Drosophila melanogaster: one gene and its partners. Changing the gene in region 2 together with the main gene of any one other region gives a genetic interaction. Each region holds a gene or a part of one and is shown on either strand. Other genes may lie near its edges.

Region 1 (4,977 bases), on a different chromosome or scaffold from region 2:
TAGAAGGGACGACTTTTGATGGATGAATTACAATTATTTACTGATATTTCAACGTTACTTTCTTCAAGCTGGTGTATTAAGATCTATAAAACGTGTGGATAATTGGCTAAAAACTGTCGTAAGTGCTTAAACAGCTGAGCTCGGCAATCTTACAAATTGCATTCAATGATACTTAATAAAGCAATTAAATTTAACTAGTTAAAGATAAAGTAACTCTCGTAATTATATGCCCATTTAAGGCTGATATTGTAATTGAATAATGCTATTGTCAACTACTCTGTTGAACACCAAAGTTTAGTAAGGTCTTAAACGTTTTAATATTGTGTTATAATATCAAGTATCTGTGATAAAATGCATTCAGTCTATTGAGTAAACCTTTGGCAATTCATTACCGATAATAAACTAGCTGAGCAAGCTAATAAAGGTAAACACCTTAACCAAATGACTGCCATCAAGTGGCTTAAATCACTCTCCATTCGCCACTTGAACCACATGATCCATGGACTTACCCGAGATTCCAGGGGATTAGCCAAAAACTATCAAGGAATCCGAATTGCTTGTTCAAACAGCAATAAGCCACCCCATAAATGAGCATATGGGGCACTCCCACCCATCCGATTCCCCCCCAAATTTCAGCCATGAAATTATTAGGCAAACGATTACGAATTCCCTGCGGTGGCATAAACTAAATTCATGAGAGTGCCATGATTGCTGGGAGATTGTTTTGGGGTTGTTCTCGACGGGTTGGGGTGGTGCTGCACACACAAAAACACACACGGGGTGGGTGGGGTGTAGCGGCATAATGAGCTTAAGTTATGTTACATAAGCCATAAGGACATGAAAACCACTCGAGCAGACACTTCACTTCGGGGTGAGTGTTCGCCTCCCTTTCGCTCGCACTCACTTCATTTCGGTGGTTGGCAAACTAATGAGCTGTGGGTTGCTGTGGTTTGGCTCCGTTCGCCGGCTCTTCTGTGGTGTCTGTCGCTTGTTTGCACAACCGCTTTATGAGCCACCACTCAACAGCTCGTCTCCTCGAGTGTGTTTGAGTTTGGAGAAAGAGTGAGTGACTAGCAGTGCACTGCTTTAGCATAAGATGTAAGATGCTTTAGAAAATGCAGGAAATATCCATAGAAACATATGCAAGTAAATAAATTTTGCCAGGATCTACTACAGAATATCTATAATAATACTGGCATGGTGCTGGAGAATCGTATGTTAACGAGAAAACTTGAAACCAAAGGCTTTTCTTTCAAGCTTATGAAGATTAGTATTCAAAACACCAAAACGTAATTTCATAAACTATATTTGCATTCACAAAGTTCATAAAAAGTACGTTAAACGTAGAAATATACAATATTATTTCATCAATATTTGTACTTATGTTTCGCTAGACAACTTAGATAACTGAAGCAAAATTTTTAAAGAGACTTGGACTCACCTGAGCTGGGACGATCGCTGTAGCGGGTGCAGTAGACCCACGCTGGCCAAACGATGGGAGTGCCGGAATCCTCGCCCGATTTACCGGATGCTCCTGTGGCACCCGCTCCTGCCGCTGGCGGTGGCGACTTGACCAGATCCACTGGTGCCCCCGAGGTGTTCGTCGTGCTGCTGCTGGTGGCGGTGCTATTGGAATCGTTGCTGTTGCTGCATATATTCGCCAGCGAGCTGGAGAAGCTCAAGCTCGAGTTGGCGGCGGCGTTACTTTGAGCCAGATTCAGTGGCTTTCCCGACTTCTTGGGCGCCTTTAGGGGAGATCTGTTGCCATTGGTATTTCCAGAATTTTTACTGCTGCCAGTACTGCTCCCACTTACACTGCCACCACCGATATTGCCACTTAAAGCACCAATCTTGGGCAATCTGGAACCAAAGTCCGCCTTCAGGATATTGTCTATGCTGAATTTGAGCGCCCTTTCGTGCAGATTTTCATTGTTATTCAGGTGATTCTGCATGTGATGATGGTGGTGGACCTGATCCCTTTGCAGTAGCAATTGCTGATGGGGATGCACCGCTCCACCGGGTCCCAGACCCAATGCCGTGGCCGTCAGCTGAGCCAGTGCATCCTGACCGCTGGGCACTGTGGCAACCGCCGCCGCCGCCATTGCCATTTGCAGCTGTTTTCCCGCCGCCGCTGCCGTGAGAGCGTTCACCCTGGCGGCGGCCATTAGATGCATCTGCTGTTTCATCAGCTCCTCGGCGTACAGCTGGGACTTTCGCAGGAACTCCTCCTGGAAGGTTCCAGTGGAGGGAGGCAGTTGCAGGAGATCTTCGGGTGAGAAGGGCGGACCTTCGCTGGGCGGCAAAACAGTGGTAGCAGTGCTGCTGAATGCCGACGGTCGATAGATTTGGCTGATCAAAAGCCTCTGCCTGGCCTGAGCTTGAGCGGATAGCGCAGCCTGTGCTGCTTCCGATTGTTCCTGGCCCACACTCAAGACACTATTCTCACTGCAGCAGCTGGCCGGATCCTCCAGGTCCAAATCGTGCTCCTCCTCGACCTCTTCATCCTCTATGTTCAGCTGCTCCTCGCACTCCGTCTGCTCGTCCTCCTCCTCCTCCCGCACTTGGGGCGAGTTGCCCGGCTGGACAAGCGGCAAGGGCAAGCAATCCGGATGCATTTTACCTACTTCCTGGCCACCTCCGCCCGCTCTCCTCTCCTGCGCGTGGTCCTCTGCCTCCTCTAAGGAAGGAATAGTCAGCTTGAGCGGGGGCGGTCGAGTGCTGGCCAAGGTGGACATCAGTTTGAGGGCTTAGGTCTTCAGCTCGAAAGTTCACAGGGACCAAAAGCCGACGGCATTTCAGGGCAGCCAGAAAGCATTAAAAACATTAACCACAGCCAAAAGATATCACTTGGATTGGCAAATACGCCGCGCTATCGTCTTCGATTGACAATTGGTTTTTGGGTTGGGTGATAAACTTGTCGATACCGACGTTAATCCGCTCGTCCGTTAAAAACGTAACGTGCGCTGTTACGAACCGCCGACCAACTGATTCTCTCGCGAACTGAATAGCAAAGCGAGACGGCTGCAGCTGAGAGCCGATTCAAAAAGAGAACTCTCTCTCGCACACGCTCTCTCTCACTCTCCGTCCTGCTCTGGCTTTTCGAACATCCAATCAGCGGCTGCGGGGCGTGCCCTACTGTTGTCCCGCTCGCGCACACGGTCAGCCGCCTGTCAGTTGAGGTTATGTTAAGTGTTTGTATATTTGTTAATTAAGTGCGTCGTCGCCGCAAAAAGAAAAAAGCGAAAAAGAAGGAAAATAGGGATAAGAACTCCACTCCATTTCCATCTGCGCCTTGTCGTTTTGATTATGCGCTGCAGCATTTAAGTCGTAAATCTCACTCTATGTAGGCTGCTCTCGCCCTCCTCCTCCATCATCATCACTTCACTCCCCCTTTCTTTCGCTCCTCTTTGCGGTCTGGCATCTGCAGTCCTTTTTTGCTGGCATCCTATCCGCCGTCCAGCATTATATACCCACACACACATATGGAGTGTGTGCCTGTTTATATACAACACATGCCACAGCTTCCCCGTCTCCTTCACTCCTTCGCTTCCTTTTACTTATTGTTCTTGTTGCTCCGATACAACGAACATTTTTGCGCTTTTTGATGTCATTGTTGTTGTTAGCTGCGCTTTATAAATCACCACCACAATTTTTGTTGCCCCAACATCTGCCGTGATTTCATAATTGCTTTTGATGCTTTTTTGTCGCCGTTTTATTGTTTGTTGTCGTTTTGCCTTCACACATCCCATCGGACAACATTGATGATAGTTCTGCGTAAATGAATACCAATACGTGTGCAATTGCATACGCTTAATCATGGGCGTAGATTCAAAAGCACTGGGGGGATAATGATCAGCTTGCTGGGTTTCTACTGAACACCTTGTCCGGCATTTAAAGACCTCTTAGTAATGCCAAAATAATTGTAATTTAAATTTGGTCCCACAAGCTAATCAATCTGATATCAATAAAAAAATCAAACTTTGATATTCATGATTACTTACATAAGACATTATTTTTAGAATTTAAGTCACTTCGTTCATGTACTATGGAAATTATCCTCCATTCCTGACCAATTTAAGTAGCCCCTTCTCCCGCCAATGAAAATTTGACATACGTTTGCTTGGGCTTGTCTAATTGGCGAACATACTGCATTGTTGCTGTGCTTTGTGCTCATAAATCTGTATTTAGCTTTCCTTTCAAGTATTTGAGACATTTTTGTGTGTGTCATGTGTGGGGTGAAAACGAGTTTGCCTTGTTTGAAGTGAGGTTGTGCAGGGCATGCCGATCACTCTTTTAATTAAATCAGAAAACTTTGTTGTAGTCCACGAAAAGATTTCTAGGAATGGCTGCATTCATTTGCATCATTTGCTGCGGACCTCTTTAGTGACACAGCCGAAATCGGTTAATGTATCATATTTCATATCTGAAATCGACTATCAAAGTTGCACCTTTTCTCCGTTATCGCCGACAGATTGGACATAAAATATCGGAATTCCAGCGATCTTTTTATCGCTGCTGTTGAACCCATAAAGCCCGAATCATGGAGTTTTTCGGGCTGTCCGCGCTTTATTATCGCTTCGAATCGTATTGGTGGAACCACGCCCCGAAATGCAAAGCAATCCAAGCCAGTTTAATAACTTTGTTGCACCATTACAAAGAAGCCAATGCCAGATGCCGACACTGCGATAGTATAAGCACCGACAAACGAATTAATCAGGCTTAATTTCCAGCCCTCGACAAAAGAAACAATTATACGCAGTATGATTAGGAAAAGGAATGGAGTACAAGAAAATAGTTTCATACAGTCGAGCTTCTGTCACTTAACCCTTACCATTTATTTGCCTAAAGACCCGAACATTACCTAATACAGTATAATTCGCTTAGCTGCCTCGAGTACTTTGCACAATGCCTCGATGCAGGTAACTTAAAAATGCAGCTAACTTAATTTTTTTTTTTTAAGGAAAAATAAAGAATTTA
Region 2 (7,912 bases):
AGCAGTAGGAAAAAAAGGTTTCGTAAAACTAAAAAAAAAATTAAACTCCGACCACTGATTTGATCTATAAAAGTTGGACAGCGTTTTCGGAACCTTGCAATAAAGGCAAAAATTCTTCAGACGTTACTCATTACGACCTAAGTTTATCAATAAATTAAAGGTTTAGTTGGATTCAATTCAGTTTCACTTAGGAATTACTTCAGGCTTAAGTTTTAATTCTAACTACGTAAATATAATCCCAGATTACCTCTAGTTCAAATGATTTTTTCATGTTCTTTGCATAGGGTGTTGTGAAATGATTAACAACGTTCAAATAAATACGTTAGTGATTATGAGTAATTGTGAACTTCTATACAAAGTGATGAATTGATGACTGGGATGGCAGTCTATGCTCTATCATACATGTGGCGTCCTGTCATTTGAGCTACGATATTACCCCTCTTGCTATGTTTAGATTACGTACAAAAGGATTGAAAGTCCGCTTCAAGTGAATCAAATTCAGCTTGGGTGGCAGACCCGGTTGGACCCGGTCCACAGGTAGGCAAAGGTCCATGCAAAGGTCGTGGGAGATCAGCATGGTCAAATAGAAGCTCAGGATACTGCCCGCTCCTATCCTCAGACTCTGGTAGACTGCTGAAGACTGTTGATCCAACGGCGGTGGCGCCAGCGGTCCTATAACCTCCCCGTCCTTTTCGTCGCACAGAGTCATGGACTCTACTATTGCCACAATCTTGGGGTCTGATCGGGGTGCTTAAACTAGCTGCAGCTTCGGCGCCGAAGGAGGGTCATATTCCTTGCTTTCGTCATGTGCGGGAAAAACAACTACATCACCTAATTATGGATTTCTCGCATAGATTCTGGATGGGATGGGCCTCGCAACAGAGTCAGTGATTCCAGGCACCGGTTGCTCTCTGGGGAGTTCCCTTTGTAGATTAGGTGCATGTAGCTGATGATTAGGGTGTACGTGCTGTGAGAAGTGGTGAGTCGGAACGTGATTCACTTTGTTCTGTCTGATCACATTCGCTCACGAAGTAAATGTCGTTACATTTAGGTGAAACGCGGGAAACTAAAGAAAGCGGTCTTTTGAAACCTTGACTTTGTTGCGTGTTTTTAATCCTTTACATCGCCTGGCGGGACCTCCTTAATGGACTCCACCTTGGCCACAATTTTGAGAGCTGGACCCAGCTTCATGCCCATGGCGTTAACCAAATGGTTTTCTTTGAGCAGCAGCAGCGCTTGGCCGTCGATCTCCTGCTGTATAAAGTCGTCCACGTAGTCCTGGCAACCAGGCAGTTCTCGGATGAAATTGCTAACTTCTTCCACACTCCAACTGCTGATGGGAGGGCGATCGGATCCATTTATATTCGAGGATGGTATTGCTAGGACCGGCGCAACCACTCCAGCTGAAACCACTGGCAGTGACACAGTGGGAGCTATTGCAATTGGCAAGGGCAATGTCAGGGGCAACGAAAGTGGTGAAGATGTCGACATAGCCGCCAGCACTGGCATCGAAATCGGTGGGACCTCCGGCGTAGCCGCTTGAATTGGCAAAGCGTCCGATACTGTCTGGTATGATTCTGTCTGCATCTTCTCCTCAGCCATGGCTTCATCCAGTCTGTCCACCAATGCCATTGCGTCCACCCCAACTATACCACCTGTCCCCAGGCCGTTCGTCTCTCCTGATCCAACTCCACCGATGCCGTTCTTTGCCTGCCTCGAGCATCCTGGCGAACAGTAGCGCTTCCGTTTCAGCTTTGCTTTGTGCTCCATCTTTCCACACTGCTCGCAAGCAACCATATCCGAGCCTGGAGCTGATGCTATTCCACTTAGCTTGATGTCCTCCTGCATGGTTGCCTTTTTCTCTGCGCGAAGGAATGACACGTTAAGATTGCGAAAAAGCATTGGTACCAGAAGTTTATACTCACTTGGCGGCTCATCGCTGACGTCTTTGTCTGCATATCGCTGTCTGGTGACGGGAAATGGCTCGTTGGCCTCCTGGATGATGAAGCCATCGATGACGTGAGTTAAGACGTTCGGCTTAATCATCGCCTTGGGGAGATCCTTCGATCCATTACTGATACTCGACGTGGTGGTTGTGGTTGTGCTGGTGCAACTTGTGGTAAAGGTGCCAGAACTGGTAGTGGTTGTGCTAGCGGTTGAGACAGCCGTGCTGGCTGTCGTTCTGGCTACTCCAATCCCATTGGTGATCGTTGTCGTGGTTGATGTTGATGTTGCGGACGTTAAACTGCCGCAGGTTGTCAGCTTCGGCTCTTCTTTCCCACTGACACTGTTGGGAATGGTGCTACTCGGTGGCTGCACTGCTGCATTGCTTTGCTTGCTGGTGGGAGTGGTAGCGCCCTTTGACGGCGTGGAAGACCTATCTGAGGCATCTCCATTGGACAGGGCTTCGCCTGTGGAACTACTGGCCTCTACGGATGCGCTAACAGTGGCAGGAGTAGATGATTTGGGGGTAGTGCAGGTGTCCTTTCCTGATACAGGAGTCTTGGGCGAATCAATGGGCACCAGGGTTGCGGTGGGCCCTTTTGAAGGTGTCTCTTTGGTGGGCGTGGCTGGAAAGCCTGCTCCTCCACCGCTACTAGCACTGCTTAGTGTGACCAGCTGTCCAGACGATGGAGTGACAGCGGTGCTAGAAACACTAACGGGTGGGGCAGTGGATAGGTGACCCACGGTGGCATTCATCATCGAGGTCATGGCCAGAATGGGATTTGTTGTAGGTGAGGGCGTGGTGGGTGTAAGTGAAGGTAGTCCCAGTTGCTGCTGCTGCTGCTGCTGTTGAGACCCTCCGGCAATAGTGGCGCTGATTAGCTGCTGATGTTGATGGATCTGAGTACCTTGCGTCTGAGCCTGCTGCATACTGGCCACCGTACTGCTGGTGACCAGAGGAGTGCTGCTCTGGCTGGTAATTGTGACCACACTGCTTGTGGGGAGCGTAGAGGAACTGCAAGTAATCGGTTTGGTTGTCTGAAAGATGGCGCCAGACACCGAGAGAGCTTCTTGTAGGGCACTGGATGTTATTCCGGCAATATCTTCCGCCGTCATCGATGGTGAAACCGAAAACGGCACGCTGCTAAGCTGCAACTGTCCAGACTGCTGTTGCGGTTGCTGCTGCTGCTGTTGAGAAGTCGCTCCAGTTGACTGTTGCACCACAATCTGCTGGATAATATTCTGCTGCTGCTCTCGCTGCTGTTGTTGCTGTTGCGCTTGAGCCTGCACTTGGGCTTGAACTTGTGCCTGCGCCTGTTGCTGTAGCTGCTGCTGTATCAGTTGGTTGTGAAGTTGCTGCTGCTGCTGTTGCTGGTGGGACGTGATGAATTGATTTGGCGCCACCTGAAGGATTTGCTGAGTGGCATTCGCGAGAGCCTGTTGATGCTGCGCCTGGGCTTGGGCAACTTGCTGCTGTTGCTCCCTCTGCTGTTGCTGAGCCTGCGCGACTGCCTGTTGTTGTTGCGCCACCGCTTGCTGTTGCTGGGCGTTAACCTGCTGCTGCTGAGAGACCTGTTGCTGCTGTTGTTGCTGGGCCTGAACAGCCGCTTGCTGCTGCTGCATTTGAATGGCAGCAATTTGCTGTTGCAACATTTGTTGTTGAAGGATGTGCTGTTTCTGAAACAGTTGTAGCTGCTGTTGCTGCTTGTCGACTCCTGCCGCAGTGGCTGCATGAAGGGTCTGTCCATTCTGCAGGGTGATCGGAGTGCCCGTTGTGCTCATCACAACCATTCTGGAAAGATGCAAAAATAAGTACTGTGACAAGGCAGATAATAAACAAACAATACTCACTTGTTGCCCGCCGCATTAACCACCTGCTGGAGATTCGTCGCCTGTTGCTGCTGCTGCACGGTGGTCAGGTGGCCTACTACCTTATTTTGTCCTGCGACTTGACCGATTTCGGTTTTCAATGTGGCTAAAGCGGGGCGCACCGGCTGCTGCTTGTTGCGCATTTTGGCCTTCAGCAGGCTCTGGTTCTGGGCAGTCTGTGTGGATACGGAACTGGCCGGACGCACTTGAGTTCCATTGTGGGGCATGACAGGGGCTCCTGGTCGCTGCAGAGCGGCTGCAGTGAGTTGCTGCTGCTGTTGCTGCAACTGGGCAGTAGCCACCGCTAGTTGCTGCTGCTGCGTCTGGTTGGTAGTGCCAACCTGCTGCTGCTGCTGTTGCTGCTTGGGAGCAAGTGCATCCAGTTGAGTGCGTGCCTTAGTGGGCGTCTGCGTCACGTTGCATTGAATAATCTCTGTAGGAAGATAGTTGACTTTAGTACCTATCCGATGCAATATACATGACAATATTCTTACGGTTTTGCTGGGTCTGCAAAGTCTGCGTCGCCGGTTGCTGTTGAATGAACATGCCTTGGGTTCCGTCTGGCTGGTTTCGCAGGATGATCTGATTGGAGCCGAAGGGTTGCAGGCCCGCCGCATTCTGCCAGAACCAAGGGATCTGCATTTGTTGCGCTTGGCCAGCGTTCAAAAGTTGGGCAGTCTGAACAGACTGTCCACCCACACCGACTGGCAAAGTCGACTGTGAAACCTGCACGCACTGCTGAGTGGTTTGGGTGGTCTGCTGCTGCTGTTGCTGAACCTGCTGCACCTGCTGGGTCTGTGTTGACCCAGTAGATCCAGGACCCGTCGCCGCCTGCACCGTGCTGCTGGTGGTGGTCACCTTCTGAACCACTTTCTGGGCCAGCTTGCCCTGCGCATCCACTCCCACCTTGGCCAGAGCGGCAGTCAGCTGTTGCTGTTGCTGCTGCTGGTTGAGCTGCTGTTGCTGCTGGTTAAGCTGTTGCTGCTGCTGTTGGGTAAGTTGCTGTTGTTGAGCTGCGGCGGCCATTGATTGCAGAAGGTTTTGCTGCTGCTGTGGCGAGTGGGAGATGACATTCACCGGCGAGATGAGCACCGTCTGAGGCGACTGATTGTGGTTCGAAGGAATGCAGGTCGCGTAATTTCCGCCAGCGAATCCCGCTTGGCCACCGATCATTTGCTTGGCGTTTTGAGTCGTGGTGGTAAGCATCTGGGGGCCGTTGCCTTGGAATGGCTTGCCGGCGGTGATCACCTGGATTGGCTGCTGACCGAGGCCTCCTGGATGCAACAGATTTCCCGACACAATCATTTGGGGATACAGGAAACTGGTGGAGGGTTGCATTAGCTGCACCGTCCTTCCCTGTGTCCAATCCCCGCCAACTCCTCCAGTGGCCGCTGCCAATTGCATCGGCGACATGGTGCTGATGGCTGTGGAGTGCTGCTGTTGCTGGCTTTGCTGCGAGTTGGCCGGACTAGCTGCTCCTCCGGCTCCGGCCGAGGCTGCTCCTCCACCGTTGGCTTCCGACAGCTGCTGCTGCAGCTGCAACTGCTGCTGAACTTCCATAATGTTGGTTGCATGCTTTAGTTCAGTTCCACTGCCACTGGTCGTGTGCGTGGGAAACTCTTGCTTCACCTGAATGGCGTAGGGATTGTTTGCATATAACTGCTGCAGCTGCTCGGGGGAGATCTGCAGCGGCACATTGGTGGCGGCCGCCACCTGTTGAGCTGGACTCTGTGACTTCTCCAGTTTGCGGCCGGTTGTCTTTGAGTCGGGTGCGCTTGGCGATCTGCTGCTGAGCGGTAGTAGTGGGTGGCGCCGTCTGATTGATGGCGTTCCGACTGACCCACGTGCTGCCTTAGAGCTGGGCGATTGGGATGGACTCTTGGCAAAGTCCTCGTCGAAGCTGATGCCTGCCTTCTGGGCGAGTGTTTCCAGGCACCTTAGTGGCCGCTGGGGGTCCACGCGAGTGGTGGAGTTGACCTTTACAGATGTGGTGGCTTCCGGGGAAGGTGGTGGTGTACGTATTGTTGTTGCTGATTCACTTTCGGTGTCCCCACTGCTGGAAAGAGAAAGAGGAAACGCACACAGACTATCAGTAAATTGCTTTAAACACAAACAAACACGGACACACTTGGCGCGGCTCCGAATCCGTGGGGCATGCTTCATATTCATGTTTAAATTTATATTTATATTCTTATTCATATTCTCTTAGCGCTTGACGAACAAACCGCACAACAACAAACTGCGACTGCATGTTACTCCCGCCAAAGACTCTCTCTCTTGCTCTCCAACGCGAAAAGGGGGACGAGGAACAGAAAAAGAAAGAAGGGGGTGCGACAGGGACGCACTACCATTGAGAAAGACAAAGACGGGATCGATCTGGGTCCAAAAACGCCAAAGAAAACGAAAACGAAAACAAAGTCGGGACGAAAATGTGAGAAGGGAACGAGAGATACACTTTGTTTTGGATGATCGTTCACTCACGAGGTAATTTACTTACAGTGGATACTGTTTAGGTGAGACGTGGTAAGCTTAAACACCAACATATTATATGGGAAATTACAAATGATTGCAGCTACAACTTTGTACAACACTAGCCCCACCGTGTATTCAGTACTTTTTACGGAACAGGTAAATAAATATTTTAATTTGTTCATGATTCGTGACCCACTAAAAGTGCACTGTTTTTCATATGTGCATGCACACCAACACCTAAAGCAGGTCACTTGTCAGCGTTGCCTGTGCCCGAAACATCTATTTATAGTAGGATTGCTCTCTGCTGCATATTCCCCTTCTCCATCACCTCCTCCCATCTACTACGCAGAGAGGAAGTTCGAGTGGGTGTAAGGGAGACCACTTTTATTTACGGATGGCCCTTGGGCGATGGTTATAAGCCATCATGGTGATATCCAAGGGGACAGGTTCAAAGACCTAAGCTGGGCGCTCAAAATGCTGTCGCCAGTTGTCCAGGAGTAAGAAATGGCCGCGGCTCAGAGGAGCGGAAGGAGCAACCGGCGCCACCAATAATAGTTAGGAGTTTCAGTTACATTTGGTGTGTATCGGGGGTGGATTTTGGCTTCCATTTCCATCGGCAGGCTAAGAGCGGAACGGATTTGGAAGGGGGGTAATAAACCTAGGCACAGCAGCATCTTCAACTTGCAACCGAAAGACTGGTTTCTTTCTACCGCGCCACGATATGTGCATGTGTGTGTGTGCATGTGCGTGTGGCGGCATACAATAATGCCATCATTATTTGATTTTTCCCTTAGCCAAAAATTGAGTTGCAAGAGGCAGAAACAGAGGAAGAGGAGAAGGAGAAAACGAAGAGGCAGGGAGCAATGACAACAATGCGGCGCAAACAACAGGCAAAGAGCATGCGCCGACGACAGCGTCTCATCAGAAAAAATATGTTTTACCGTTTTCATTTTTGCTTTCCTTGCTGTACTGTATTATTGTATATTTGGAGGCACCTGTACATGCCTAACATTCAAAACGACGCAACTTTAGACGCCGCACAGCATTAATTGTTTTCACTAATCACTTATAGTCAGCACCGATTTGCATTGATCGCCAAAAATAAATATATAAATAAATACTACGAAACGGTGGTAGGGTGTGTGTGCGTCGCGTCGGCGCTTTTTTTTTCCCCCGTTCAATACACATGCGGTATGCGACACATCGACACCACACCAACACGAACGCAAAGAGAGCAGAGCGCAAGAACCGCACGCCGCCAAGTTAAGTTTCAAACTGAACCGCGCGCTACAGCGACAACTCTACTTTTGCTCGGATCGGAAACAAAATGAGCGCATGTGTGCTGAATGTGTGTGTGTGTGTGTTGGTGTGCAGCTGGATCCGCTTCTCTCCTCTCAGATACCGTTGCGACTAATAACTTTTCTCTATACCGAAATGCACGGGTGCGAGTGCGACGCCACTAGGAGTGGCCCTGGTCAGATAGCGCGTGCGAGCGGGATGCCGTGCGTTCGCTTGGGGTTGGAATGAAACGGCAGCAGTTGACAAAGCAAAACCAAAACGAGTAAAAAAAACAGGAATCAAGACTACAGCTGGCGGGCATGTGTATGCGTGCTCAACCACCCCGACT
Region 3 (6,244 bases), on a different chromosome or scaffold from region 2:
GACTTGTATGTTGAATAAGTTATGGATTAATATGTGGTCTGGCCATTTCTTCGACTAACCGATGCGTCTAAACTGGTCCCACAAATTCCTGCAATGGTTCCGTCGTTCTGCAATTGGACTAAAGTCTTTTCTTTCTTGAATCTCGAGTGGATTGCGACCGCATGGTCGTGGAGTAGAGTCGGACTTGTTTGGATGTAGGGCAGCCTAAAGCGGACAGATGAGTCAGTGCCGGTCCCCCGGCAGCGGATGTCGTTCATTTCAGTTGAAAACTCTTTTTTGGCTTAATTAATTCGACGATTGGCTTAATGGCGCGCTGAATCCTCAGCGGGTTTTCCTGCCCATGCATAAATTACTCAGCTATTTGCTTTCCGGAACCCAGCAACTCCCATGGAACCGCGCCAATCGCCTCGACATGCAATCAGTAATGAAAGCACACACTTTCCCGAGGGACCTTGGGGGCGAGCAAAAACAATTTCAGCTGATAACATCTCGCGTTTCCTGGCCACTCGAAACCATTAGATTTTGCTGCGTTTTCACCTCGCAACAAAGACCAAAATTAGAGCCGTAAGCACTGAAGGCAAAGGCAGTTCGGTTATATCACTGTAACGAATGAACTTCGAGAATGCTGGTCTTTGAAAGGTAAGTACAGTGAGGCCGCTGGTGGCGTGAACAAGAACGTATTTAAACTTCTAATCGAAAACAAAGGCGTAAAAGCGAAATAACCGACGTCGTGGAACACATATATGTACATAGAGTGGAAATCAACATCTCTCGATATCGTAGTGTGTTGCCAGATTTAGTCCTTCAACAGCTGGCTCAAATACATTAAATAGTATATAAGTATCTAAGTATAAGATATTAATAGTGAAATTTCAAGAGACGTCCTCATGTCTAGCCATAAATCGGAGCCCTGTAAGTTTTCGAAATTCGTCTCAGCTCAACGGTTTGCCATTAGCGAGGGACCCCTGTGCTGTGCGCCGAGGTCACCCCAACCCGCTGCCCGGTCCTCCATCAATGACAATAATCAATCACGGCTCACCGCAGAGGAGGAGGCCATGAGGCGGAGCAGAATGAGGAAACAAAGGGAGCGAAGATGAAAATCGAATCAAGGCGAACAGAAAGAGGAGTTAGTCGGTCGGTGGTGGTGGGAAGTGTGAAAAGTTGGCCACAAAAGCCGACGGCAAGGGGAGTTTTCCTTGCCGCGGCCAAATCACTTGAACTATGCTTTTCTTGCTCGCTACGTTAATTGAAAACACAATTTACTTAATTTTTGCATATCTCGCTTCAAATTACGTTGCATAATTTTGAATAATTTTTATTCGTATTTTTTGTGTTGCTTTTTTCTGCTTTACTCTTCTCTCTCCATCGTTTGGTAATAATTTTCCTTTCATATTTTCGTATTCTTTCGGTAAATGGTTGTTGTAACATTTTGCTGATTTGTAATTAAATATGCGTATGTGTAACTTTTAGCAATTGTTTTGTTTAATGTTGCTGCCGTTGTTGTTGTTGTTGCAGTTCTTGTTTTTGCCGTTGTTGCAGTTGTTATTGTTTATGTGGTTGGCTTACACAGAGCGGTTGCTGTTGTTTCTTGTTGGTTGTTTAATTTAAATTAAATTAATTACTAAAATTATTTTATAACAAATATCACTACAATAGTTTGCATTTTTTTTTTTTGTTGTTGTTTGTTTTTGTATCGTTTATCAATTACTACCATTACTAAAAGAAAAAAAGATCGCTCATTTCCTCTTTTCTCACCGTCGGACAACAATTTCTCATAGCAGCTAGACAGAATTTTGTTTCATCTCTTAATATTTTTAGAGTTAATTACTTTTGATTCTAAAAGCTTTGATGGGTGTGTATATATAGTACTGTTTTAGGGGAGGATCTATTAATTATTCCTTGAGGCGGCTATTTCATCGACGCGTACTTGGTAGGCGCCTGTCTCATGTGTTGCAAGTTGCTGTTGCTGCTGCTGATGTTGCCGTTGTCCTGGTTGCTGCTGGTGCTGCATCACACGTTGTAGCAGGAGATCTGCGGCAGGTGCTGGAATGTGGGCGTGGCCGCCACCGCCGTGGCCGCCGAACTGAACGGCACAAACGAGGTCTGGCCGGCGGCAGCGGCGGCGGCTGCCAAGTTGAGCGAGGCGGCCGCCGCGTACGGGTGCATCCGCTGGGACCGCAAGTACTGGCGGTACTTTCCGCTCAACTTGTCGGTGGCCGTGTTCACTGCTCCCGTCGCCCCCGCACCACTCACCGCCCCGCCTCCGCCCACCGACGCCGACCCGCCCGAGGCCGCTCCGGCGGTGGGCGTGGCCGAGTAGAGGCGCATGGGATTGGTGTCAGGGCCGGCCTGATAATTGCTAGGAACTGTGGCCATCGGCGAGCGGTCCATCAGCATGGACGTCGCGTCCCACGGCGGCGGAGGCAGGCAGTGTTGCTGTTGCTGCTGTGGCTGCTGCTGCTGCACCTGCGACTGTTGCAGCTTCCCCGAGGCGACCGCCGTCTGTCCGTAGCTGCCGGAGATCATGGCGTCCCGCTTCCCGCCCCCTGCTCCGCCGCCACTACCCTTGGCCGCGTAGTGGCTGTGGGGATGCAGCATGTGGTGCGGCGTGAGGGCGGTGCGGGCGGCCAGCGCAGCCAGTTGATCCCACTGGCCGGCGGCTGCGGCGGCTATCGAGGCCTGGGCCGCAGCTGCCGCCGCTGAGTTGGCTGCATGGCTCTGGCTCTGGCTCTGACTTTGGCTTTGGCGTTGGCTTTGGTTGCTGCTGGCACGTTGCTGCTGCTGCTGCTGCTGTTGCTGCTGCTGGTGCTGGCGGACCAGACTAGACTGTTGCTGGGGATAGTGGGCCTGCTGCGACATCTGCGACATCTGCTGGTGCTGTTGCCGCAGTTGCTGCTGTTGCTGTTGGTAGCGTTGCTGCTGTTGTTGCTGCTGCTGGGCGCTCGTAGCCGCCCGGGCTCCACGCCGCGCGGCACTACTGCTGGGCGCCGTGGCCACCGCCGCACCGCTTCCGCCTCCGCCCAGGGCCGCTCCGCTGCTCAGCGAGCTGCTGCTCACCGCCCGCGCGGTCGCATGCATGTTGTTCACGAACGGGCTGCGCCGCTGCGACTCCATCTTGCGGAAGTAGCACGGGTGGATCATCAGCAGGGGCTCCACTCTCTGGCCCGCCGGCGGCTTGGGCTGGTTGGGCAGCTCGTACTCCACGCTGCAGTCCACGTGCAGCGGGATGCTGTAGTCCTTCTGCGGCGATGGAGCGGGGGCTGCGTTGCTGTTGCTGCTGGCAGTCTGCTGCTGCTGCTGCTGCTGTTGCTGCTGTTGTTGCTGTTGTTGTTGTTGTCTGCTGTTGGCAACCGCGGCGGCGACCTGCGTTTGGGTCGCCGCCGCATGGCTGTGGCGCGAGTTGCTGCTGCTGCTGGTGTTGGCGGGCTGGTGGTGATGGCGGTGGTGTTGCTGCTGCTGCTGCTGTTGCAGCAACTGCTGCTGGTGGGCAGCCACGGCGGCGTGGTACATGTGTTGCTGCTGCTGCTGGTGATGATGCTGCTGCTGCGTCTGGCTGTGCTGCTGCTGTTGCTGCTGCTGTTGCTGCTGCAGGGCGGACAGGGCCGACATGCCGTGCGACAGGGACGACATGTCGTAGTTGGCATAACAGGCGGCCATCGTCATTGCTGTATTCAGGGGATCTTTTAGCTTTTGCTCTCGTTTCGGTAACACAGAATTCGCTTTTGGTTTGCTTATTTACTTAGATTTAGATTTTTATCATTTTGCGGATGTTTTTCGCTTTCTTCACTTTCGAAAAAATTCACTTTTGTGGTTTTATTGGCACTGGTAATCCAAAAAGAGCGGCTAACGGTAAATTTGCCGCTGCAGGTAATCCGTGAGTTGGTTGTTGCTTTTGTTTTTGTGTTTTGAGATAGGAGGAACCTTAATCCATATGTGTGTTTGCTTTGCTTTGGAATTCGCTTTAACCCGTATAATATTAGCTGCTGTTCGCGTGTTTAACTTTGTTTCGTTACGTTTATTGTATATTTATTAGCGTTTTAGTCAGTCTTTGTTTGGTTTTACATAAATGCAGCGAACAGTTGGAGCTGCTGGGTGAGTGTGAGTGCGAGTGGGTGCGCGTGTCGGGGTGAGTGAACAATCCACGTGTGTTTTCAGTCTTTTTGCCCGTTTTTGCTGGCTAACTTAACCGTTGCTTTTTAGCTACTCCTTGTCTTCTTTCCATTCGGTTATGCTCTGTTCTGTTCTTTTCTCGCGGGGGTGAGTTCGCGGAGTAGGTAACTTGTTAGTTCTATGCGCAATAGAACTGCCGAACGAACGTCTCATCCACTCCGAAGAAAAACGCGATCTGAATTGTAGTTTCTGCTTTGTAGTTTTGCTGCCGCCGCTTGCTTCTCTGCCGCGGTCTCTGCCGACGTTTGTAAGCGCAGCGAGTATGCTGAATACGGAGCGCGCACGAAAAACAGCTGTTGGCTAGACGCCTACGCCTGTGTGTAGGCTTTGCTTTTATTGTTTTTGTTGATTGTCTGCCGATTTACTTATTTTTCGTATCACAATTGGCTGCGTTGCGTTTGTTTTTGGGTTTTAACTGCGTGTTCACCTTCGACGCGACGTTGAATCTTCTTAACTCTCTTCTTCGTTAATTACGTGCCACAGACCACGCTTTATCTCCTCCTATGTCCGCACGAATCGAGCTCTTTGAAGCGACTGACTCGAAACGTCGTCTTCGCTCCATTCTGCCGACGCCTACCTGCTGTTCGGCACAGCTGATGTTCCGTGACGTATTCAGCACACACACAGTCGCAGGAGACGAGCGCAGAGTTATTGTTATTGTTGCTTTCCTATATAAATTGCATTCAATGGCCGCTCTCTCTCCCTCTCTGTGACCGCTCTCTCTGTGCCTGCGTGTGTGTGTGTGGTATACATTCAGCCATGTTACTACACGGCGGCCATCTTTACAACTGCTTTGGTCGAGACAGAGAGAGACAAAGAGGCGAGAAAAGAGCGAGAGAGCGCACATTATTTTGTAATACGATGTCTTTAACCGTTTTAGTGCTTTAATTTTTTACGGCAAACGCATTTTTGGGAGCAGCTTTATGGGGTCGTAAAAGCAGATGGGTTCTAAAGGGGTTAACGGCGAGTTGAGAGCTAATTGAGCCGCACTAAAAACGGGGAGTTGAATGAATCTATCAGCATCACCTGGTTAAAATGGGAATGGGTTATTTTTACTTATGTATTTCTGAGCACTTTGGTACACCCCTAAAACTTAAAACCCATATAATATCAACATAAGCAGTGTGATCTCCACACAACTGCCTAAAAATCCTCTGCGACGCAACTTCGAACACACCTACGTAGTTCCTTAATATAAGAATACAACAAATACCCCAAGAACCTCTCCGGTTTTGGAATACGAAAGCTAAACTGCGCACTGAGAGACTTTCTGCAGACCAAAAAAGGAAAACAAATTGCAAAAACTCAAACAGACAGCGATATTAAACATTTCTGTACTAAAAAATGGGCAATTTAAGTCAGGAAAGGGCACTGTCTCGCTCGCACACACACAGCGAGAGAGCGAGAGAGAGTGAGAAAACGGCTGGGAATTACACACATTGTAATAAATAAGGAAGGTCGTTGCCATAGCAGCCGCCGTTGGCGTCGTTTTTTTCCCCCCATTTTGTTGTTGCTGCAAGAGAGTGGCTCGCTCTGTGGGGCTCATTCAGCAACTGCTGATAACAAATCAGCTGTTTTGTTATTTGGGGAGGTGTGTCCGCGTGCGAGTGTGTTGGTGAGTCTGGCTGTCTCTCTTGGTACATATTTGTTTTTTTTTTTCTCAAAGCATATGTTTGTTGGAATCGCTGTTGCAGCTGTTGTTGTTGTGGGGCTGAAAGTTGTTGCTGTCAAGTTGCCATTGCATTTCAGTGTTGTTGCTATTCGATGTGCAAGTAAAATGAAAACCTATGTGGCGGATTTGCATTGAAGCATGTCTTTTAATCCAAAAAGTAAAACTAATGCTTCTTATTGTCTACTAAAAACTAATAATTCGTATTATGTGCTAATTATTCTAAGACTCTTAAGAAAGAACATGATTGGTGCATGTATACAAGTTAATGGATACTATTGTTTGATAGCCTTAATGATTTCCTGCTTTTCTACTGTTGTTGCCATGGTTTTGTTAATGAATTGTCTTCATTGCATCTGGGATTGTGGATGGTTTTTGGAGTCTGGTTTGGGTTAATATCGACAC
Region 4 (5,300 bases), on a different chromosome or scaffold from region 2:
GGTACTAAAAAGCTCACCGTTATAAAGCCCACTCCGCAGCCGTAGACCGTTTCCTGAAAGGAAATCTCCTGGCGCGAAATGCTAAAGTAGTTGAGGAAGTTTCCAGAGGCAAAAACCAGCGTGTCTGAATCCACAAGGACCAAATTAAACAGCTTCTTACAATCGTAACCAAAGGAGTGTCTGCAGCAGAAGTTTTCCAATCAAGAAAAAGTTATCAACTTCCAATTCCGTACTCACTCTACACTGACGATATCACGCGGAAAGGATACGTCGTTCTCATTCTCCAACTCCTCCTCTTCGCCCAGCAGATCAGATTCCTGCGTAGTATCCATATTATTTAGCTATTATTGTACAAAACTTAACTTGCTGTGTATTTATTTATTTGATACAAGTGAAAAGGTTTACTTGAGTGTTTGTTTGCCTGTTGCCAGGTCACATGAAACCGGCTATCTGAAAAGAGTTCTGCAAACGTGGAGCATGCGCAGAAGTGCGTTCAACAAGTTTCATTCAATGCTATAACATTCTCAAATACAATTTATTACGATTAACTCAATAAACATTCTAGGATTAAATTCCATTACACAATCTAAATATCTAATTCCAAAAAAGCCTCATCATCATCATCGTTAAAGAACGCCGCGATATCCGACTCAGCCTTGTTTACTTTGGTCATTTCTGTATTATTATTTTGCTCAGGCGGCTCTTTAGCTGGAATAGTTGAAAAATATTGTTTTATGCTATTCCTTTCCGGTTCAAGGGAGGTGGACGTGGAGGGCGAGAAGTACTCCTCGATCTTGTGGGACTAAAAAAAAAGTTGAGTTAGCGAAAAATACATTTTTCAAAGTATTCAAAATGTATCTTACTGAAGTGGGTGCTGCTGTGTGTGTTGCTTTCTGAAGATTTTCGGCAAAGATGCCCACTTTACTAAGCACCTCTTGCTTATTTTTCAGCATGTTCCAGATTATATCGTCTGCCGTATTGTGAGCAATCAGATAGCGACAAATCACCGGTTTTGTCTGACCAATGCGATGGGCACGGCTCTCCGCCTGGGCAAGAGTCTGCACATAAAATAAAACTAAATTTAAGCGTTCTCCAAGTTAACATATAAGCGAAGCTTACGCTAGGATTCCAGTCCAGTTCAGCGAACACTATGATCTCAGCTGCAGTTAGCGTTATTCCTGAATTGCAGGCTTTTAGGGAGAGCAGGGCCACCTTACAACTGCTCTTCTTTTGGAACGTGTCCACAGAATCCGACCTGTGATCGCTACGCGTTTGTCCATCAATACGTATGTAGTGTACTTTCAATCCACTGAGGAAGTCGCTAATGGCGTCCATCATGACACGATGGTGGGCAAAGATAATGAACTTTTTCTGCTCCTTAACTAAGGTTTTTAGGTAGGCGCTATAATGCAGGATAATACATTAACTTCAGATGGTTTATATGGTTTTAATGATTTTTTTTATTACCAGACCGCTCGAGTTTTCACTTCGGCAGTGCGTGCATAGAAACGGAGTAAGATCTCTTCCGTTGCCCTGCCTTTAGCGGTTTTAAGCTCTTTGTTAAACGCATCCAAGGTTTCCTTGGTCTCCGCATTGGTCCACACTAGGGCGGGATCCAGGACGACAGTCTCACTGCGGATGGAAGAATGTTCGAAATGTTAGAAAATATATTATAGATATACAACAATGTGAACAACCCACCGGTTCTTCTCAGCGAGTTGAGGCAGCACCTCCACTTTCGTTCGCCTCAGCATATATTTAAGGTGAAGTATGACCTTCAGTTCCTCCAAATTCGATTGACCATTGGCATCCCAACCAAAAGTTGACTGCTTTCCATCACAATAACGAGTAGCTGTGAATGTGTTAATCGATATAAGCGCGTTCTAAGGTAAACAGACATTCTTGACATACTGAACTCCATGAAATTCATGAATTTGCCATCAATCATTTGCAGTTGCGTAAAAAGTTCCAATGGCCGGGAGAGAGCCGGTGTGCCGGATAGCAAAACCACCCGCTTCGCCTGATCCGTGAGTCTTTTGGCCGTTGTCGTGCACTTGGCCTTGCTGTTCTTCAGCGTGTGCGACTCGTCGAAGATGATGAAACCAAACTTCCGCTGCATCAGCTTATCTTCGTGTCGCTCCATCATATTGTAGCTGGTGATTAGCACCTTGGCCTCACCCACATATAGCTGATTGTTGTTCAGCACCTGGACATAGTGGATGGGCACCTTCGGCAGTAGATCCATTATGTGTTTCGCCCAACTGTCTCTCGTAGAAGCGGTGGTGCAGACAAGCAAGGGCCAATCATCCTTGAAATAGTCGGCTACGGCCAAGGCCTGATAGGTTTTGCCCAGGCCCATTTCATCACAGATCATAATGCGTCCCTTTTGGGCTATGGCAAAGCTAAACATATGATAAATTTAGCGCTTTTGGAAGTACATAGCATACAAGCAATGCTTACCATACCCCATCCTGTTGGAAGGGCATTAGCTGGTCCGCCAGCTTCGGTTCTATGGAAGCTAAAACACTTCTTTCCGGAACTACTGGCGGCTGGCCGCAGAGATCCAGCACCTTCTTCGGAATGCCATTCATGTGAACATATGGCTTTAGATCCGCTGCATGAGTTTTCAGGGATTGGTAGTCCGACAGATCGAAACTCCAGATACGGGTTTGGCCATCGTAGCACTTGGTGGGCATGTTCTTGAACACGGTCACGAGCTGTTCGTGATATCCTGAGGTTTGGGCAGCAAACCGATGTGTGCTGATCAAGTAGAGATTACACGTGATGGAGTTTCCGAGTAGCACAGCCACCGGTTTCTCCTTATCCGAACTCAGTGAAAGAGTGGGCTTGTTTCTTTCGTTCCCTCCATTTGGCCGCTGGTAAGGATGTGCTGCTCCGCGGGACAATTCCCGGTTGGATGTCTGTTTGATTGCTTTCAGAGCGTTCAGAAAGGATGAGCTCTTGTTGTCACCGGGCGTGGGACCGCTCCTGTTGATCTTCTTCTGCTCCCCCGTCGGTGATCGGTAGAAATTCAATGGGGATTTGGCCTGCGGTTGATTGGGATTTGATTTTCCATTATTCGCATGTTGCGTCGCACCTGTTGCAGACGTTGTTGATTTTCCATTGGTTGCGGGTGCGCTGGCCAGCAGCTGGGATTTCTTGGCCTGCAATTTGGCCAGCGCAATGCGCTTCTTCTCCGCTATCTCGGATGAACTGCAAGTGGACATGCTGCGACATCAATTGATAAAATTTGGCGGAATATATAAACAATAAATGCATGGCTCTGTGTGACCAGGTGAGCCATTTTTCAATCCTTACATCTTACATTGGGCGCCTATTTTAAATTATTTTTACATTTTACATACTCTATGTATACATTATTATGTATATATTATGTATAAATTATTTAGTCCTTAAATTAAATTAAAATCATTTCTGTTTTCTTATATTGCCTACGTCGGTTGTAAGCGAAGATAATCAGCTTAGAATTTTTCCTAAAAGCGAGTTATTATTTTTTTTGCCTATCAAGATGTTCTTAGACGTGCTATCAATTAATTTCCATTGGTATCAGAGGGCGAATTTCTTAGAGATAGGATAACGCCGAGTGGGGGCTACTCCAGACAGCGATAAGGGGCGCAATAAAAACGGATGGAAGTCTGGCGCAGACCACGATTGATCCAATCACCATGAAAGTGTTCGTTGTACTGGCTCTGGCTTTGGCCGCTGTCTCCGCCGAGACTGTCCAGCAGGTTCATCCCAAGGACCTGCCCAAGGACACCAAGATCAATGGCCGCATTGTGAACGGATATCCAGCCTACGAGGGCAAGGCTCCCTACACCGTGGGTCTGGGCTTCAGCGGCAACGGCGGCTGGTGGTGCGGTGGTTCTATCATCGCCCACGATTGGGTCCTGACTGCTGCTCACTGCACCAACGGCGCCTCCCAGGTGACCATCTACTACGGAGCCACCTGGCGCACCAACGCCCAGTTCACCCACACCGTCGGCAGCGGCGACTTCATCCAGAACCACAACTGGCCCAACCAGAACGGCAACGACATCGCCTTGATCCGCACCCCCCACGTGGACTTCTGGCACATGGTTAACAAGGTGGAGCTGCCCAGCTTCAACGATCGCTACAACATGTACGACAACTATTGGGCCGTCGCCTGCGGTTGGGGACTGACCACCGCCGGATCCCAGCCCGATTGGATGGAGTGCGTCGACCTGCAGATCATTAGCAACTCGGAATGCTCCCGCACCTACGGCACCCAGCCCGATGGCATCCTCTGTGTGTCCACCTCCGGCGGAAAGTCCACCTGCTCCGGTGACTCCGGTGGCCCCCTGGTTCTCCACGACGGTGGCCGCCTGGTGGGTGTCACCTCCTGGGTTTCCGGCAACGGTTGCACCGCTGGCCTGCCCTCCGGATTCACCCGTGTTACCAACCAGCTGGACTGGATCCGCGACAACTCCGGCGTTGCTTACTACTAAGCTTGATTATCTTTATTTTTAAATAAACGAAATGCATAACAATTAATTTGACGCCTTTATGTTTCTGGTTTTATTACATTTAAAAAATCACATGGATATTTTTAAGTTTCAAAAGTCTAGTCATGCAGAATCCGAATCTATAATAAACGTCTTATAGATAAGAAGCCATGAATGGCTAAGAAATGGGATGGTTTCTTGGCAATCGAACACTTGTTATCTGGAAAACATGATTAAACACTATATATGTAGCCATGATAGACATAAGTAGGAATACTAGCAACTGTGGTCTATACTAGTCAATAATCAGATAATGAAATAATATATATATTTACCAAAAGATTATATATTCCAAAGGATTATTATACTGACAAATCACAAAAGCGAAGTGATATATTTATTAAATATATGAAATATATTTCTAAAAAATAATACAACTTTCGTCTTTAAAATATTTCACTTTTTACTTGTAAATGTTTAGTTTATTGTTTTAAATTTTAATTTTAATAACTTTAATGGGAGTGCGTTTAATATTAAAACCTAAACAATGTAGCGCACTTACGAACGTTAAGTACAGTATAATTCGCTTAGCTGCCTCGAGTACTTTGCACAATGCCTCGATGCAGGTAACTTAAAAATGCAGCTAACTTAATTTTTTTTTTTCTATTTTCTATTTTCTATTCACACAAAAAAATGGAAAAATAATGCAGATATCTTGCCGATGCAGCTAACTATCGATGCAGCTAAGCGAATTATACTGTAATACTACTTTTGAATGACCACAGGACGTGTGCCCTAATCTCTGTGCGCTCCTGT

The links.
Region 1: of ph-d (region 2) and inv, changing one suppresses a phenotype caused by changing the other (phenotypic suppression), as found in Drosophila melanogaster (one study listed by BioGRID).
Region 3: of ph-d (region 2) and corto, changing one enhances a phenotype caused by changing the other (phenotypic enhancement), as found in Drosophila melanogaster (one study listed by BioGRID).
Region 4: of ph-d (region 2) and Marcal1, changing one enhances a phenotype caused by changing the other (phenotypic enhancement), as found in Drosophila melanogaster (one study listed by BioGRID).

What each region holds. Positions count from the first base shown.
Region 1 is NT_033778.4:11,473,734-11,478,710, reverse strand, and holds the start of inv (invected), read right to left. Parts: upstream 3,004-4,977; 5' UTR 2,736-3,003; coding exon 1,442-2,735; intron 1-1,441. UniProt on the Drosophila melanogaster protein: Engrailed (en) and invected (inv) are functionally redundant transcription factors in neuronal precursor cell NB5-3 specification.
Region 2 is NC_004354.4:2,115,756-2,123,667, forward strand, and holds the start of ph-d (polyhomeotic distal), read right to left. Parts: upstream 6,038-7,912; 5' UTR 5,970-6,037; coding exon 5,932-5,969; intron 5,870-5,931; coding exon 4,308-5,869; intron 4,247-4,307; coding exon 3,796-4,246; intron 3,737-3,795; coding exon 1,926-3,736; intron 1,863-1,925; coding exon 1,111-1,862; 3' UTR 1-1,110.
Region 3 is NT_033777.3:5,082,363-5,088,606, forward strand, and holds the start of corto (corto), read right to left. Parts: upstream 4,711-6,244; 5' UTR 3,664-4,710; coding exon 2,011-3,663; 3' UTR 1-2,010. UniProt on the Drosophila melanogaster protein: Essential protein required for proper condensation of mitotic chromosomes and progression through mitosis. Binds to specific polytene chromosome sites, many of which are shared with the posterior sex combs (Psc) protein.
Region 4 is NT_033779.5:4,953,510-4,958,809, reverse strand, and holds Marcal1 (Marcal1), read right to left. Parts: upstream 3,302-5,300; 5' UTR 3,228-3,301; coding exon 2,461-3,227; intron 2,403-2,460; coding exon 1,912-2,402; intron 1,853-1,911; coding exon 1,702-1,852; intron 1,633-1,701; coding exon 1,468-1,632; intron 1,403-1,467; coding exon 1,120-1,402; intron 1,059-1,119; coding exon 864-1,058; intron 803-863; coding exon 587-802; 3' UTR 518-586; downstream 1-517. Other genes in the region: CG34124 (uncharacterized protein), read right to left, coding at 18-180, 238-332; Jon25Bi (jonah 25Bi), read left to right, coding at 3,687-4,487. UniProt on the Drosophila melanogaster protein: ATP-dependent annealing helicase that catalyzes the rewinding of the stably unwound DNA.